Mytilus edulis: one gene and its partner. The protein of the gene in region 2 interacts with the protein of the main gene of each other region in a biochemical or structural test. Links are inferred from orthologs where the notes say so. Each region holds a gene or a part of one and is shown on either strand. Other genes may lie near its edges. The genes, in order: exodeoxyribonuclease-like and adenine DNA glycosylase-like.

The links.
Region 1: the proteins of adenine DNA glycosylase-like (region 2) and exodeoxyribonuclease-like form a complex in vitro, tested with the Homo sapiens proteins (3 studies listed by BioGRID and IntAct, with this or other methods). The link is inferred for Mytilus edulis from reciprocal best matches to the Homo sapiens genes MUTYH and APEX1.

Annotation. Positions count from the first base shown.
Region 1 is NC_092353.1:831,622-840,964, reverse strand, and holds the start of exodeoxyribonuclease-like, read left to right. Parts: upstream 1-5,381; 5' UTR 5,382-5,439; coding exon 5,440-5,529; intron 5,530-8,082; coding exon 8,083-8,319; intron 8,320-9,343. Other genes in the region: ankyrin repeat and SOCS box protein 8-like, read right to left, coding at 3,751-4,755.
Region 2 is NC_092348.1:3,362,310-3,372,254, reverse strand, and holds the start of adenine DNA glycosylase-like, read right to left. Parts: upstream 4,320-9,945; 5' UTR 4,310-4,319; coding exon 4,228-4,309; intron 1-4,227. Other genes in the region: protein eyes shut homolog, read right to left, coding at 6,845-7,273, 8,822-8,955, 9,779-9,892. UniProt on the Homo sapiens protein: Involved in oxidative DNA damage repair. Initiates repair of A*oxoG to C*G by removing the inappropriately paired adenine base from the DNA backbone. Possesses both adenine and 2-OH-A DNA glycosylase activities.

The DNA of each region.
Region 1 (9,343 bases), on a different chromosome or scaffold from region 2:
TGTAAGTTTTTTCTTTGTTGTAGTTTGAGTGATAAGTTGTTGTTTATTTTTTTATAAATCAGTATTTTTATCATCTTGTTATTTGTACATAATATATGTAGCACATATAAAACTATTTATTCTATTATGTACATATATGTATAGAAATTTTATTTATAAACCTTGTATAGATACATTGTAAATTTTTATGAAGTACAAAAAACCAAGAACATGCACCTTTAATAGTAGTACATAGATGTTAAACCAGTTTGTGTCATAACACTTAACTTTGTTCAGTATTTAGTAACTATAAACACAAATGTTAGCCAGGAGAAATGTGACTAAAATTATATCCGTAAAATTTAAAAAAATGATAATTGTCTGGACTTAATTTTGTTATCACTCAAAACCTGTAGTTTGTCAAAAATTCCCCAAGATGTATCTATAGAAATATGCCCAACAATCTTCTCACTGCCCTTAAATTTCAGTCCAACATCATATATACATCCATCATTTGTTTTATTCATACAGGCCAATTTTATAATGTCATCAAATGTACTCCCTTGGTGCTGATCAAATTAAATCAAGTAGCTTCAAGAAGACTACTACACATATTGCCTATTGTATGTAATAGTCATATAAAGCTCTTTGTATGTAAAGTCAGCAGGAAAAACTATGGAGTACCGGTACACCCTATCTTCAAAATCAAGGTTGGCTATATATAAGAGAGGATTTCTTTGGTGTATATATTGACTGCATAAGAGTCTAAATTTTAATTTTTTTTTCTTAAGAACTGTGAAGGCCTTCAAAGTTAATAGAAATATGTTTCAACTTTCAGACAATGTGTTGTGGTCACTGTACTAACTGGTCAAACCAAATTAATTTGTAGATATTATGTCAACTGTGCCATTTGATGTTATACGGTTATAACATACTGATAAATTAGAATGTAGATATAATATAGACAGATTTAATAGGAAAATAGTGAAATCTCTTACAAACCTGCCATTAATTATTAAACCTCTTTGTTGTATAGTGATAGAGATCTATCAGATGAATTCTTATAAAGGAGATTGTAAGGGATTTCAATATTCAACATGTTCCTCATCTAAATTTTATACTTCTATTGAAATATATTAAGACAGTTATCTCATAAATGCAAATTGCCATTTGAATTTACTTTTGTGGAATTCTTCAGAGGTTTTGTTGTTCAGCTTTTAGGGGTTATTGTGGCCAAGTGGACTCAGTACATGTAGTTCATCTTTTTTTCAAACTTGCACATGCTACTTGAACATAATTTTAACATTATAAACATTGTTTCATTTTCACATGTATTTAAAGATCTTTTGTTACCTTTTTTTTTTAAATTAATTTGTCAAGTTGAAAACATGACATTGATGATCAAAAATTTCAATCACAAAAGTATTTAGATACCTCAAGTTGGGCATTTGTTTCTAAACTGATTTCAAAAAGATCAGACGAAAAATGTGTTAATAAAAGTGACAAAAATACTGTAAATTTAAAACTACTGTCTGCATTTAATATTGAGAATTCCATGTTTCTCCCCATGAATGTGTATGAGTGATATACATATTGAAATTGAAGTGTTCTGTTTTAGTGTATACTGGCTATGATTGTTTTTATTTAGTTGCTCACAGAGTTAACATTCCACAATGTATAACTATAATGTACTGCTTTGGAGAAGCAGAATAAAATTGGAAAATATTTGTGTGTTGTTTTATTTTGATTTTATGTCATATGTGCTTTATGTTACCTGATTGTTCTTGATGATAGGCTTGGCTGCACAAAGGGTAAATCTTGTGGATGATGAAACATGTGTCTAATTTTTGAAATAAACTCCTATTTGATTTCTTCCTAAAGCCTTCAAACTTTAACAATGGTTGTGTATACATTGAAAATGTGCACCATTTAGTGTAGCACCCAGTTCCTACATTTTTCTCAGATTATGATCCTTTGACAATTATCAGCAGACATTCAGACATACTGTATAGCGGGTTATTTTAGCGGGTGTAAAATTTCGCGATTTTCATTGAAAAAAGTATACAAAATATTTTGTCTGTTATTATTTTGGCAGATTCAGAACTTTTATCAATACCTTTGCATCTACACTTTAAATTGGCAGAATTTATTTTGTCGATTTTGTTCTATCCCTGAAAATAAGCGAAAATTTACACCCCGCCAAAATAACCTGAGTTCCCCTTAAGACATTCACATAATAGAATAACATGTGGTACAGACAGCCAGACTTGTTACAAGCACATTTTATGTTCACACTTTATCTTCCTAGACCATATGTCTTAAAGAACAATCCAATAAAGAAAAAACAACCTGCAGTAAAGCTACAAACTGGATGGCCACTAGCTTGATGAAGGAAATAAAACATAATTTGGGAACAAGTGGAGCTCACATTCCATAGTATTAGTATCATAGCTTTAGTAGTCATTCACAAGACAAGTTAACATATAGACTGATGGGGTGGGGCTCTGAACACGGACAGACTTATGGACCACTAAGATCATAAAGATTGGCTAGGTTTGGACACAGACCACTTTAAACAACATTACAAATAACATGTATAAATTGTTTTATATTGAAACATAAACATGATAAACAATATGTTATAAAATTTCCTGATAAATAAATTATCGTTGTTTTATACTGAACATGGTGGAAAACAAACCCACTTTTTATGTAATCAATTGATATTTATGATAAGACATTAAGATACGAAGTACTCTTCAGTGTTGGTTATACTAAACTTCTGACACATCAATCTAGCAATACATACAAAAATCAATATAGGTTTGAAGAAGGCTTATCTTTTTAATTAAGACACAGATTTAATTATATAAGTATTCTCTGTGGAAGTGTTTTATAACTAAGATAATTAATTATTTATTAATTTATGTCATAATCAATACACAATTCCCAATTTATAGCATGTTTCAAGTATGTGTGGTCATGGGAAAAAGTATTTTGGATAAATAATCGAAAGATAACCAATAGCAATAAGATAATAGTTAAGCAATGATCAATTGAATAAGAATGTGGTAAAAAAAAACAGAAATTAAAAGTTTTGTTTATTCTCAGTGAATTTCTGAACAAAAGAAATCATGAATTTTAGATGTTTTTATCACCATACAAGTGTGAAGACCACTGTGATTTGTGGTTATATCTTTTAAACTCATGACAGACTACAATATTTTGAAGAGATATTTAATACTGTTGTATCATCATCATTTTCACCTCCTTCTCTCAACATAATTATAAAATCAGATAAAACATACTTTATAACTTATCAAAAGCTGCAGTAGATTTGATAAAAACATTGCAATTACTTTGAGGGCAAGAAATAATTTTTTTTTTAACTATGAACATGATGAATTCAAATTTATCAGCACAAAATGTAATTGTGAATGTTTAGTGAACCTTTAAATTCTATGTAATGTGGCAAAAATCCAAAATAAATAAGTTATATATACACTGATATTCTTCAGTTAACATGACATGTATTTTATTAACTAATTGTTGATACAAAAAAATAGTTTAAATAAATTAATTATTTTTATTTAGATTTTTAAAAGCCATAATGAAAACAAAGGTACAAAACTGCAATTGGTTAATTGAGTCCTTGTGTTCAGTTGAAAAATTGCTTTTTTTGTCATCATCAAAAGACTTTTTTTCATTATACTCTTGATCCATCATAATCCAAAACATAGGCATGATAGGTGTATTAACAATTTACACAAATTACAAATGTCCTAATAAGATATACTCCTTTATGAGTTTTGGTAATGGTAATTGTTCCACTTTTTTCATTAAATGAATGTTTTGTGATGAATGAATCAATGAATTCCTGATAACAAGACAAGAAAGAGTTCTCAAAGTTTGAGGAGATTCTGCACAATACTTAATCAGTACCATCAGCTCAGGGTGGAGAATGAGATTTTGGAATTTTTCACTTTGGCATCTTTTAATTAAAGTTATGTCCACTGATGCACCTGCTTCTAACAGCATTTCTGGAATTTCTTTACAAGTGCTAAATTGGAGGGCTGTAGAAAGTGGGGTATGACCGTTTAATCCAGTATGATTTGGATTGGCTCCATTCAACAGTAGCAAGCGGGTAGTCTGTACACAGTTTGCACGACATGTCAGAATAAGAGGTGTCCAGCCTCTGATTTGCACAACATCAACCTTTGCACCTCTACGTACCAGCTGGGAAGCTATTTTACTGTTGGCATGCATGGCAGCCATGTGAAGGGGCCTAAGATTAGCTGTATCTTTTATATTAACATCACATTTATCACTGATCAGAATCGCTTTCACCATTTCATAGTTATCCATATCAACAGCATGTAACAATGGAGACCATCCACGGTCATCAACAATGTTCACATCAAATCCACCTTGAACAAGAAGTTTAACCATTGGGACATCTTCTTTAACAATGCACTTGAACATAATTGTTAATTTTAGTCGCTCTCTCTTTTTATATGGTTTTAAAATGTATGTATAGTTGAAAACATCCACTATATATTTTAGATTCGTGTTACATCCATTTTGTACTAAAGCTTGCACAATATTAATTTGATCATTTTCTATTGCAGTTTCCACCATTGTTTTTCCAACTCTTTCTGGTCTTTCGTTGCTTCTAAAAGCATGGTTAACATCCAAGCCTTTCTTCAAATATTCACGTAGTGTTTCAGCATCACCCTGAATAATACATCGGTGTAAGTCATCTTCAAAATAATCCATTGTTTCTCAATTTTGTCACAAAAAGTAGATATTTTCTATTCCAAATTTGCTGTCAGCCTGAGTGTCCTAAGTCATCCCCAATCCGTATGTGCTCCCTGGCAATAAATCAAAGACCGGAAGAATCAGGTACATTGTGTATTGACTCTTCTTCAACATAATGAGGCAAATTAATATTTTATTTCTCCACTATAGTTATGTACTGGTATTTCTGAACAGCTGAACAGTGTTCTGTTTGGAATAAATGTATGCATAATTAATAATTTGAGATAGTACCACATTTTGCACAGTATATGAAATATTAATTCATACATATGATAAGCAAATTATCCATGACAATGAACTGAATTTGTGAAATCAGAAAAAAAAAACCTCAACTGTCAAGGGAGAAAGTCAGCTTTTAGAACGTCCATGCGTAACTTAGCAAATGTAAACTTCCGGCAGGTGCCCGTTTAATTAAAAATACGGAATCACATATAAACGAAACAATGATACGATCAAAGCTAATGCTTTATTAACAATGAAAAGACATGTTATATTACATGTCTTTCAAATGAACTATAAATTTGTTTAAGCTTAGTAGTCGGTTTCTGCAAAAAGTAAGGATGACTTTAAATACTTTACATCGTTTTTAAAGTAATTCGTTTCGGAATAAAAGTACATATGGCGGGAAATTTTCTATTGTGAATGTTGTTTGTAAATAGAAATTTGCTGATACCGGCATTTAATAGATTCATCAGTTCAGCGAAGTTAAGTACCATGCCACCAAAAAGAAAGGTAAAAATATATAAATATAATCAGCTAAAAAATGTTTTGTCAGTTTCTAAGCTCTGTGTGTGTGTGTATGTAAAACATTGTGAAATAAATATTTTATATGCAAATTGAGAAAATAAAGTATCTTCAGTGCTCAGACCCTCAGTGGGAAACGAACTCTGTAACAGGAGACAGTTTGACCTTAGTATTTGTATATGTATCAGTATCTTTCTTTTATTATCTGTGTGTTTTATTTGGTAAAGTCAGCTATAATGTTAACTCAGCCTCAGGTATTTATACATTGTAATGATGAGTTTTTTTTATCGTGTGTATAAATCAACAATACGTGTGTCTACTCTTCGAACACACCTTTACCAACAAATCTACACTCTACTTCTGATAATTGACATTGATCTCAATATCCCTTTAGTTAACTAATATTTCTTGCGAAAATATTTTAATCTAAACAACTATTGATTACTACCAAGAAGAAAAGAAAAGCTTTTAATCATTTATCTTATGTAAAACACTGAGAATCCTTACTGATTAACCAATAGAAATCAACTACACTTTTTAGGTTACCCTGGATACAATCATGTAAGCAAAATAATAACAATGAAAATGAATTGTAAATTGAAATTAGCCATCCTACATATAATTTCAAATATATAAAAACCGATTTCGCTACACGTCCATGGTTCAGCCTTAGTTGATTCAGTCTTGGTCGTCTAGTCCATGTACCACTTCAGCCATATGATAAAAGAGGATAGTAATGCCTTTGACATCAGGCGTCAAACAGTCATTTTCGGCTACCGTTAGCGTCAAATTGGTTAAAATTTTACAGTGATTTGTCAAAATATCCTTATCATTTCTGTCATTTTTTTAAAAAATAACTTGATTTGTCAAAATCAGTCAATGTTTTTTTATCGTCTGAAGGATGTAGTGTACATTTTACTGTCATACACCTAAAATTACTGTGAATGTCATTTGGCAAGAATTTTTACCGTTTTGTCATGAAGGTACCCCCATTACTACCCTTATAAAAGTTCTGGCAATATTTTCATTTTAATTTATACTTTTAAAATGAGATTGTTTTGTTTCATAATTTATAATTTAATTCATATACTTTTTATGCCTTTAAAAATAAGTTCACATTAGGAAATACGACATCTGATTTCCCCCATAATAAGAATATAAAAATTAGTCCTGCTTAGTCAGTCAGTTATTCTTGTCATGTTTGTATTACAGCTTTGAGACATGATCGAGCTGGCTTTATCAGCATCATCACAATGTCAGATGAGAAGTTTTCATTGACATTACAAATTATTGGAAACAATATGAATACGAAAGTTTCAGTTTGATCCAGTTCACACATATCAATAAAAACATAAGCTCTTGAGAGCTTTTTACCTTTCGGCCATGGTTCAGCTGCATTTAATTCGCCTTCAATTGTTGGTTTTGTCCATGTTCCTCTATCATGACTATAATGCTATGTAATAAAAGTTGTTTCAGCAATATTTTCATTTTATATTTTTTAAAAGAGAATTAGTTGTATATACTTTCATTTATTATATTTATATCAAATTGAAAATGGAAATGGGGAATGTGTCAAAGTGACAACAACCCGATCAAAGAGCAGAAAACAGTCAAGCCACCAATGGGTCTCCAATGCAGTGAGAAACATTCGCTCCTTGGCATGCTTGAGCTGGCCCCTAAACAAAAATGTATACTAGTTCAGTGATAATGGACTCCGAAATATACGCAAGAAACTAAATTTAAAAATCATACAAGACTAACAAAGGCCAGAGGTTCCTGACTTAGGACAGGCGCTAAAATGTGGTAGGGTTAAACATGTTTTTTGAGATATCCCCTTATAACTCTAGCCAATGTAGAAAAAACAAACACTCAACAATACACACAGTAAAACTCAGTTTAAAAAAGAAGAAGAGGTAGAAATATACCTTTAATAACTTTTAAAAAAACTTTATTGCACTTTTATAGTAATGATGATTTATTAGAAAAATGTTTCAAAAGGTTATGTAGATGCTGAGACTGAATATAAATCATTTATTGGATTGAAATCGCAGGTAGAGGGCACTCCTGATTTAAAACGCATACCATTTTATCACTTGAGCTCATCCAATTATCTAATTAAATATACAAACATACATATATCCTGTGGAATCAAATATCTTAGTAATATACAAATGATATAAAAATTACAAAAGTATTTAAGAAATAATTGATGCAAGCTATACTTTATTGTAGTTTTAACATGGGTAGGCATTATATTCGTGATTATTTTTGCCCGAGCGATAGTGAGTAAGTTCAGTACAGCATTGTTATATATTTTGAAGCCGAACAATAATTTAATTTAGTAGATGTGGTGTATATATTTTTGAAAATTCAATCTTCTGATAAAAAGAAAGAACATTTTAATTTTTTAAACTCTGGTGGATAGTTGTCTCACATGTCTCATTGGTAATCATACCACATCTCCTTATTTTAATATTTAATGTGCTTTATCATTAAATTTGTTTATCCAATAAAATCATTTGATTGATTATATTATTATAGAAGGCAGTCACAGATGTTGAAGCAACAACCAAAAAGACAACAGAAGCAGAAGATGAACCAACCACCAAGAAGACAAAGATAGAAAAGAAGTCCAGCACAGCAAGTACAGATCTGCCTGATGATGTAGATACTTCATTCCCAACACAGATTAATCCTGATGCTAAAACAAAGGATGGAAGGAAATTTACCAAGACTATTGTGTCGTGGAATGTTAATGGTGTCAGGGCTTGGTTAAAGGTAATTTACCAAGACTATTGTGTCCTGGAATGTTAATGGTGTCAGGGCTTGGTTAAAGGTAATTTACCAAGACTATTGTGTCCTGGAATGTTAATGGTGTCAGGGCTTGGTTAAAGGTAATTTACCAAGACTATTGTGTCCTGGAATGTTAATGGTGTCAGGGCTTGGTTAAAGGTAATTTACCAAGACTATTGTGTTGTGGAATGTTAATGGTGTCAGGGCTTGGTTAAAGGTAATTTACCAAGACATTGTGTTGTGGAATGTTAATGGTGTCAGGGCTTGGTTAAAGGTAATTTACCAAGACATTGTGTTGTGGAATGTTAATGGTGTCAGGGCTTGATTAAAGGTAATTTACCAAGACATTGTGTTGTGGAATGTTAATGGTGTCAGGGCTTGGTTAAAGGTAATTTACCAAGACTATTGTGTTGTGGAATGTTAATGGTGTCAGGGCTTGGTTAAAGGTAAGTGATAGATTTCAAAAGTAGATACATATGTCAAGCCTTTGGGAGACCTAAGCAATGTAGAATTATTCAGTATAACTATTATGTACTCGAGTAGAAGAATATCTGTGATTGTAAAGTTTTACTGCTATTCTTTGAAATACTTTGAAATAGCAAAACTTTAGCTTGTTCTTTTCTAAAGGAATTAATGAACAAACTCAGACACAAACATTTCTCATACATGTACAATATACATGTATATACTGACAATGTTATGTACATGTATATATTGACAATGTTATGTACATGTATATACTGACAATGTTATGAACATGTATATATTGACAATGTTATGTCCATGTATATATTGACATTGTTATGTACATGTATATACTAACAATGTTATGTACATGTATATACTGACAATGTTATGTCCATGTATATATTGACAATGTTATGTCCATGTATATACTAACAATGTTATGTCCATGTATATACTGACAATGTTATGTCCATGTATATACTGACAATGTTATGTCCATGTATATACTGACAATGTTATGTCCATGTATATACTGACAATG
Region 2 (9,945 bases):
TTAAGATGCATGACCTTTTTATAAATATGCGTGGGTCTTGAAGTTAACCAATTTATCGACTTGTACATGTAGGAGTCAATATTTGCAACTTTTTGATTCTGGTCAATTATTTCTTGCTTAACAATACTTGACTTATTAAAGTCATATTTTGTCTTGCATTAAAGGGAGACAAATCCTAAAACTTACAAATTTATACCTCTATGAGTCAAAAGCAGATTCAGACTTATTTATGTCTGACCTCTGACTGTTACAAGACATAAGCCATTATTGCTCCCATTGTTCCAATTTATGTAAGTCTGATTGAAGGTAGTCTGAGATTACTCTGACGTCCAACGAGATTACTTGAACGTCCAACAGCTGTTTTGCCAGACAAGCTGGTGCTGAGGGATGTCAGAGCCAGTCCCATATCATATTGTTTCCTGCAGTTTTTGAAAAGGTCATGTGTAATTTTTTTCTCAGATGTGAGATTAAACTTACAATCAAAGCATCAAAGGGTGCTATAGGCAGTTAATCAAAAACCCAAAGGCAAACTTGGCCACGTTCAGATTCATGAATAGTGTAAAGAATTAGTCAAAATATTTATCTCAGGCATTGTTCTCAGCTATTTCTAAAGTATCAAATAATGCTTGTACAGTAATGTTTATGTTATGCAATCCTACCACTTTCAAAAGTTATTTCCAATTTATATTTATAAAGATTCAATGTCTGAGATTATACACATACACTGTCCTATGTTAGGGGAGAGTTTTGTGCCAGTTAAGATTTTTAAGCTGCCACATTCTGTATGTACCTGTCCATAGTGAGGACCCACTAATGCGGTGATTGTTGCTGTATATCATATTTATTTTTCATAATTGTTTTGTACATTTTTTAAAATTTTATTAATTTCTTGTGTATACTTCTGATTTTAGTATGATGTCCAAGTTATTGTAAATGCTCTTTTGTTCCGACGTTGGAAAGTTCCAGGCAGAAAGAACTAACTAGCCGTAAAGTTCTCCAGAACTTATCAACTACATTGTAGTTACTTTGTTCTTCCTCTGGTTTAAAAGTTCCACCTGAACAAGTGACTAGTTGAAATAGTTTACATTTTTGTTATCATGGTTATTGTGTTAAGGGGCCAGCAAAAGCAATCCTTTGGGTGTAGGAGTTTCTCCCTGCTTTAAAGATCCATTGGTAACTAGTCCGTGATTACTCTGACGTCTAAACGGCTGTTTTGCCAGACAAGCTGGGGCCGTGGGCCCAGGGCCCCTGCTTGTCTGGCAAAATAGCCGTTAGACGTCAGAGTAATCTCGGACTAGTCGACTCGTTACCTTTTTATCGTATCATGCGATTTCTTTTCTTATTATTTTAATGGGGAAATCGTTTACCAGCATAAAGTTGCTGAAGGAACCGCATAGAATTGATTCAATAACACTTAACGAGTGTTTGAATGTGAAAAATTATAAAAAGAAACATATAAAAAAGTCGTATTTTTCTGTACCGGAAATCGAAAAGTCCTTGTAAATCAAAAACAATTACGATGTGATACGTGTCACAGATTCGGACTTAATATTTTACAAAATATGCGACTTTGAAGTTAAATAATGCCGTCCTTTAGAAAACAGTTGTTAAAGTTTATATCACAATATTTATTGAACCACATCGAGCTTAATCAAAGCACGTGTAGCATTATGTTACATTGTGTAACACCAAAGGGAAACAAGCTTAAAATGACCTTGACATCGACCAATCAGAAACTTAATTTGACAAGCATGAAGGTGATTTGCTAGAAATCGGAATAATATTAACAAGAAAACAAATGAGCATACATTAAAGATTACTGAATAAAGATGATTGAAATAATCTCAATCAGACAAAAAAACGAATAAAATGATTAATAATAAAGTACCGATATATCATCAGAATTCTCCCAATTTAAAAGGTACCTAAATTTCGTCTTCTATGTAATTTGAAATTACCGCCAACTTATATCAGCTTATTAATAGACTACTGACGTATGTAATACGTATCGATGACAAACAATATTCCTACGACTTTTGCTATCTGGGAAATGTAAACGACTCATCTTTATAGATTTTTAGCGATCAAATATTTCATACAATTGTTCTTTGACATCTTAGCCCACAGCACAGGGGGTAATAAACTATAGAAGGATTTCTATCGAGCACTACTTCCTATGTGCAACTTCAAAACTTTTGGGAAAATCGACGACCATTTAACATTTTTATGGTAATATTTTTTATATTCCAAAATAAAAAGTATGAAAAAAGTGCCCAATTAATTATAAATAACATGATAGCCAGCCAGATAATAAAAGTGGCACATATTTCATCATTTATTGGGTAGAACATAAATCTAGGGTGCTCGAAAAAAGCAGCTTAACTGCTTAAAAATAAAGAGATAAATGTAAAATGAACAAATTGAGGCGATTTATATGATCCAAGACCGTCAGTCAGCCCCAGAAGCAAGAAAGCAGCTCATCCATTTTGAATAGGCAAATATCCACTTTTTGATATCATGGACAGGTCAGGAATAACCACCAATTGACGTATAATACCTCAATTGACGTATAATCCACCAAATGGTGGATATAGAGATAGATCAATTGACGTATAATGTTCTTTTTTTCAAATAAAATTTTAAAATGAAATTCGCGCGTTTTTTTGCACATACCATCTGAACCTTTGAATGGTACTCATTGATGACATGAAGTCCATTCTGACACCTCGTGCTGCATTTGCAGTGACAAACTCAAAAAATAATTTGCACCTCCTTTACACACCTATAAATTCTTTTTTCAAAAGACCTGATGGATATGGGACATCTAAGAGTTAACTCAGACTAGATTAAATGGTGTGACAATCAATAAGTGATGTTATTGTTAAATACATAATGGTATCATCTGCAAAGAGGCGCACATTACTTTTGAGGTTGTCTGGCATGTCATTTATGTAAATTAGGAAAAGACATGGGCCAAGAACAGAGCCTTGATGAAAGTCCGACAGTGCAGGTCAGCTGTCTGTCAACTACTACCTTTTTTCTAATTCGTTCATACCCCAGAAATAATTTGGCTTAGGCCAAAAAAAAAAATAGGTGTGTTTCCGGTCGCCCGACCGACCCTAATTTTTTGGCGCCGACCCTAACTTTTTTTTCCCGGAAAAAAAAAACAAACAAAAAATCCGGATTTTTTTCGTTTTTTTCCGGAAACGGTTTTTGTTTAGTATAGCCTTTGAATGGCATCTTTTAAACGTTTGATTTCAAATAAAATTTTAATACAGTAAGCATTTGTGTGATACAGATTGAAGTCAAACAACGGCATGGCTTCTGCTATGGCCATCAGTCAAAGTGTGTTATCAATAACAATCGATGAGTGTCCACACAGGAACGAGAAAAAAAGTATAATAGCCCCATTTTCTATTAATTCTACCACCTTTATTGATATATTCAATCAGTATCATGACTTTGGATTAAAGAACAATGAATTTACTGTGACTGGAAAAAGCTGGCATCAGTTCTGTGAACTAAATTGTCTGAAAGAAACTGATTATAAAACAGGTCTTTGCTGAGACAGACTTTGATGGGCTTTCTGTGTAAGACTATAGCCTGACCCGTACAGATGGCATATCAGTTCTGAAAAGTTTGAAAATTTTATAAGCTGGAAGTCCTGGCCAAGTCTTCTGCAACTTTTGAACATGGACTATTCATATCTTGTATACTTTATACAATGAACTGATGAAAATAACCTGAAAGAATAACAAACTGATTATAAAAATACACAAAAAACAACCGAAGCAGGCCAGTGAAAAAAAAAAAAAAAAAAAAAAAAAAAAATACCTACCTACCGACCCTAATTTTTTGGGGCATGCAACAGGAAACACACCTATTTTTTTTTTGGCCTTATCTGAGTAAACAGAACGTCAGAACTTTGATTAGTAACCATGGGCTAAATCCAAAAGTGACTGTGAATAATTCGTCGGTACTTGTCTACCTAGAGATAAGACAATGTGAAATTATGTGATGTATTTTAGTCAGATTTTATTTCATAAGAATTCGCTCTATGCATGCTTTTTCAGTGGAATTGTTTAAAGATAATCATGTTATGTAAGCAAGCTCAAAAATTCACATAAACATCCCCGAAAATAAAAACGAGGACAACTGAATCGGTTATTATTAACCAATTTATTACAATATTTGTCTTATGCAGTTTCTTGAGGCATATGTTCTAACCTGATGTACCATTTTGATGTATTTTCCTTTTAACCATGATCACAAACAAATTTTGAAGTCGGCGGGAAAGGAGGGGTATCATTTACATAAGGGAAGGAAACGTTAATATTCGTTGCAGAAACGGTGAACGTAATTTGTTATTTACTTTCTCCTTTGTTGGAGCACTATAAAATGATATTACGATTGGAAGGTGTCCGGATTCAGTTTTGTACAAGGTTCATTTTCCTTTTTAATTTGTCTTTTCTCTAGACGAATTATTCACAATGACATTTAGGATAATATGAACGGATTTAGCACATCGTTACAAATCAAAGTTCTGACGTTCTGTTTACTCAGATAAGCCAAATTATTTCAGGGCTATGAACAATTTAGAAACAAAATGAGAATGATTGTTTAGTTACCAAAACATTGTATCAATTACATTTTTAAGAAAGATGTACAATTCACTGCAAATTTAGTAAAGATTCAAGAGTTAATTCCCATTTTACATGATATCAGTATAAATGTCTAATAAAAAAGTGTATAATATTTTTTTACCATTATAAATGACCAAATATATGTACTATTAAAGGGGCACTAGCTACGAGATATATAATAAAAATCTAATATTTTTTGCTCAATCATTAATGAAATGCAAATAGTGAAATAATAATTCGCTGGTTAGCAGCCAGTATGGTTAAATTTTGTCAAAATATTAAGCTAAAACACATTGATTATGAATTATTCACTTGCAAGTGAATAACTCGGCCTCATTGAATCCGTTTTCATGTAAACTTCAATTTAACCCCTAAGCTTGAGATGGATAACAAGTGAGTTGTATGTGCAAAGATTTTTAAGGAAAAGAATGTCAACATTGAAAGTGAAACAAAGGTAAATAGTTTGATTGACTGATCCGATCCACAAAAAAATCATTCTTATACAGATAAAAACGTTGATAAACATTTATTTTTCATTTATAATATGAAATTAATAGACCTAGAAAAATCCAACAGCACGAGTTTGCTTAATCTATTTATATCTACAAGTATATTTATGTTTACATCGCTTAAATATGGTCATCGGATGACTTAAGAGGTCAACTCGATAGTTAATTAGAAGGCGTATGGACTAAAATACACACGAAACGAAGCAACATATTTTTATGCCTGTCTCCTGTTACTTGTTTATTTTAGACTTTTGATAGTTTGGATAAATGTTTTACATTGTTATAAATCGAATATGAGAATTTGATTAAAACCAGTGAGCATGAATTTGACAGCTAGTGCCCTTTTAAGTGAAAATTAATGGAAAATCATCGCATTTCTATATCCATTTTTGCTAATCTTAGTAAAAATGTATATATCAGTCATTTGAGATCCAAAATTTTAGTAACTCGAATTAGAACTAATTATCTTTCATTCAACCTAGCTAAATGATATGTAGGTTTTAATGAAAAATAACATTAAATAAGTAAGTATAACAAAATGAGATAGAAAAAAACGACCAAAAAAAAAACTACCGACATTGACCAAGAGTACAAAAATAATTAACTAAGAAAGCTGCTCAAAACCCAATTTGAAATTATATTAAACACAAACTTCACAAAACATTGCGGTTGAACCCATACGCTTCGGAAGGATGTTACTGTTGCAACGACCTTGTAGGTTTTGGCAAATCAGGAAAACAGCTGTTTGCCATTCGTTTGATGTGTCTGACCTTTTGGTTTTGCCATTTGATAGTTGATTTTCCGTTTTGAATTTCCCTTTGAGTTCAGCATTTTTTTATATTTTACTTTTATACCATAATTCTTCAAAGTTTCAAGCTCGGTTCGGAAAGAAGTTCTTGACTGACGTAATTATTTTTTTTATCAAAAGCATACAATGTTTCTTCAATGGTATATTAAATTAAGGCAAATGTACAATGGAGCGTGGCATTCATGTCAACTTGTGCAAACAAGCTCAAATACAGTTTGCGGAACAGGTGTATACCTGTCAAATGTTAAATCTACGGGAATTTTGTTCTCTTTCGAGTGAAATACAGCTTTAATTTAATATGCTAGTCAACTAATTATTAGATGGTAGGCAATGTACAACAAATTTCATATATAACGAAATTGGATGAACTATAAGACTAAGGGTCTATTGAATTGGTCTCCAATATAAAAAGTGTGGTTTTCTCAACCAAACCATTGATTAATTCAAGACAAAAAACGCTAAATATTTCTTACATAATTTTAATTATTTCTTAAATAAATTTATTAAACCGGCATTAAAGCTAAATTCATGCAACAACAGTTTCCATGTGTTACAATTTAATAAATGTAAAAAAAAAAAAAAAATGGTAATCACATGAAATTTTAAAGGAGAGAGATCTCGTGCTTCGACAGGATAAGATTTGGATAGATTATTTTTTTCCCTGTTATATGTCATGACGAATTCGAGTTCGTACTTGTGTATCGGTACTTTTTTAATAGCAAAACTCAAGCATAAGACTTTATAAACACGAACAGCATTTTATTACACCATTATACAAATATCTAGATACATTTTTAGATAAAAAATATCCTCAATTATATTTACCATGTTTACATGAACATTTATGAAATGTCTAAAATTTTATTAAGTACATTTCGATATTCTTAACTGTCATTTTGTACTCTTTGATGCCGACATTTTAGAATTTTCCGACTCCCATCTTCGTTAACATATAGTTTAGAAAAATCAAATCCACTATGATCTAAGAAACAGTTGTGGTGTTCTTTCTGTTGTTTTTGTTTTCTTAGCCTTGCTTCATGAAGTTTATTGACTCTGTGAGAGGATTGCGCTGGCTTCTTGGCGATTTCACTCTCTTGGAAGACTTCATGTTGTAAAATTGTTGCTTCATGTGGGTGAATTTTACTGTCACTTTTTGATTTATTAAGCATCATCCAAGCACAGTAAGATAAGATCGTTAGTAATAATCCGATTGCATACCCAATAGATCCTAGCAACATTTTATTCGATTTTCTGCTCTGTTTCGACTGTTGAGTAAAACAAGAACACTCAGAATATTCTAAAACCGAACAACCCTGAAAAAAGAAAAAGAGGTAAACAGAATCAAAAGTAGTACGCAAAACAACACCCACACACTTAGAACGATATGCAAGTTCTTAGATTTGACAGGTCTTACCCTTCCGGAGCACATGATATCAACCCAGTTTTTGGAGGGGTTCATATTCACAGGCATGTGTCTTAGAAAAAAATCCTGGTACATAAAGGTTCTTTGTATATAGGGAAAAAAATATGAGACCAGTGCCTGTGTTCGTATTGTTTAGTCCTTATTTTTCTATGTTGTTTTGTGTCTGGTTTTTTTCCCTCTTTTTTTAAGCCATGGCGTTGTCAGTTTATTTCAAATTTATTAGTTGAATGTCCCTCTGGTATCTTTCGCCAATCTTTCATACAATTTAGTACTCTGTAATGTCATTCCATAGTTATCACTGGAACCACTTGTAAAGACATTACTATTTAGTATACTGTAATTGATCCAGAAAACACACCTGTTTACCTCTTGTCTCTCTGTCTGAATTTTAGTACTTATAATACATTTCAATTAACCCATTAGAGCAATGTTTTTTTGTGTGAGTTATAACCTTCTCTGACGGTTAATGCAAACTAAGGACACAAAAGTATCACGACAGTATGTGTATGTCTGGTCAGAGTTCGTGATACCCGCTTTATATTACACAATAACAATGATACAAGGGTACAAATGTGTATACAACCAACTCCTTGTTTTGTTTGCTTGTGGTATACAATACATCTTTACGACTAATACGCATTGCTTTACAATTATTACATTCATACATTCTTTTGACACTTATATTTAAGCATGGCACAAATTCGTGTTTTTTACAGACTGTTTATGTCTTTAACAATTGGATGTGCACTGGTTGATATTTTGTATATGGTCGTTAATTTTTTATTAGTAGTTATTGGCTCTGAACTTGCTTGCAGTAACTGTGAGTACTCTCAGATCAATACATTGTGTTTTGAGAGTTTTTTTATATGTTTGTTTTGACTGATGATTCAAGAATTTTTCAACTTATTTTTACATTTTGTTCGTTAGTAGAGGGTTTGGCACCCTTTAACCATTTTAAACCGAACCACATTACGTTTGCACCTGTCCCTATTAGTCATGAGCCTGTAATTTAGTTGTTGTCCTTTGCTGCTGTTATTATATTTGTTTATCGTTTATTTCTTTGTACATACATTGGTTTTCCTGTTGGAATTGTTTCAAATTTTGTCGTGTTGGGGTCTTGAATAGTTTGCTATTTTCATGTGGTAGAGATTTTTGTTATTCACGCTACTAAATATATCATTTAATATCTTATGGATAAACTCATCATAGATATATACCAGGATTAGAATTGTGTACGCCAGACGAGCGAAAAATCTACAAAAGACGCATCACTGTAGCTGGAACCAAAAAGGGAAAAAGGGGGACAAATGTACAAAGTTGAGGAGCACTGCGGATCCAAAATTTCTATAGGTTTATAGCCGTCTCATTGGCAATCATAAAGCATCTTCAAATTTTTATATATACCCTGAGTCTCCTGTTTGTCGTAAATTAACTTTACCTCAGATTCATTAGTATGTCTTTCCTCGCATATATCACCGAACCAGGAATCTATACATTCACATTTAAACCCATCATAATTGTTCATGCAGGTACCATCATGTAAGCATGGATGTGAGGAGCAATGATTCATTCCTACAAACAGTCATACTGGTTTATATTTAAAGAAACAAATTGCACTAAGACAAACAAATAGAACACAACAAAATCGATCGGAAGACAATTTAACGATGGCGCAAGACAATTTAACGATGGCGCGAGTCATTTGACGATGGCGCAAGACATTTGAACGATGGCGGGGCGCCATCGTTAAACAGGCCATGTAGATCCCTGGATCCATCTATCATCTATTTATTCGTATGATGCATATTCCATTTACGGAATTCTCATTACATATGGAAGAAGTAACATTTCATTATATTGAACAGCACGTTATGCTGTTAAAGGATGTCTTTTTTATGATGAATTCCATGTCTACTTAGGTTAATATTTGAGGCAATTATTATTGCATTTACTTGACACCACAGAAATAGCAGTTTTTTTTCTTTTTATCATGGATAACACCAAGGGTTCATAATGGAAACGTTTTGTTTTATATATTTAACAATCTTATACCGATACTAAGAAAAGGTTTCAATTTAATATTTCCGTTTTATTTTCTGATTCGTTAATTTACACAAGTGAAGGACGCCAGATGTCAATCTTGAATCAGAAACTGCTGAGACCTCCGGTCTTTTTTCAGCTCTTTCTTAACATGTTTTGATGATAGTAGAGTACGTTTTGTATTTTAATTATTTTGGCCATGGAATTGTGTGATCCGCATCGACTTACAATTTTTTTGTTTTACATTTTTAGAAATGAAGGGATGCCCTTATATTTATTTCAAGTTTTTTTTATGAGATACCACATGATAAATGGATTTATATAGTAACTTTATACATAATGTATTCTGACTTACGATGTTCACAATGTTGTCCTGTAGAATCATTTGAACAGTGACAACGATACCCATTGATAAGATCTACACATGTTCCATTATTCCTACATGGATTACTGGTGCATTCGTTTATAGCTAAAAGTATACACATTCAGCATTAAAAATAAATTGTATCAACCTTTTAACTA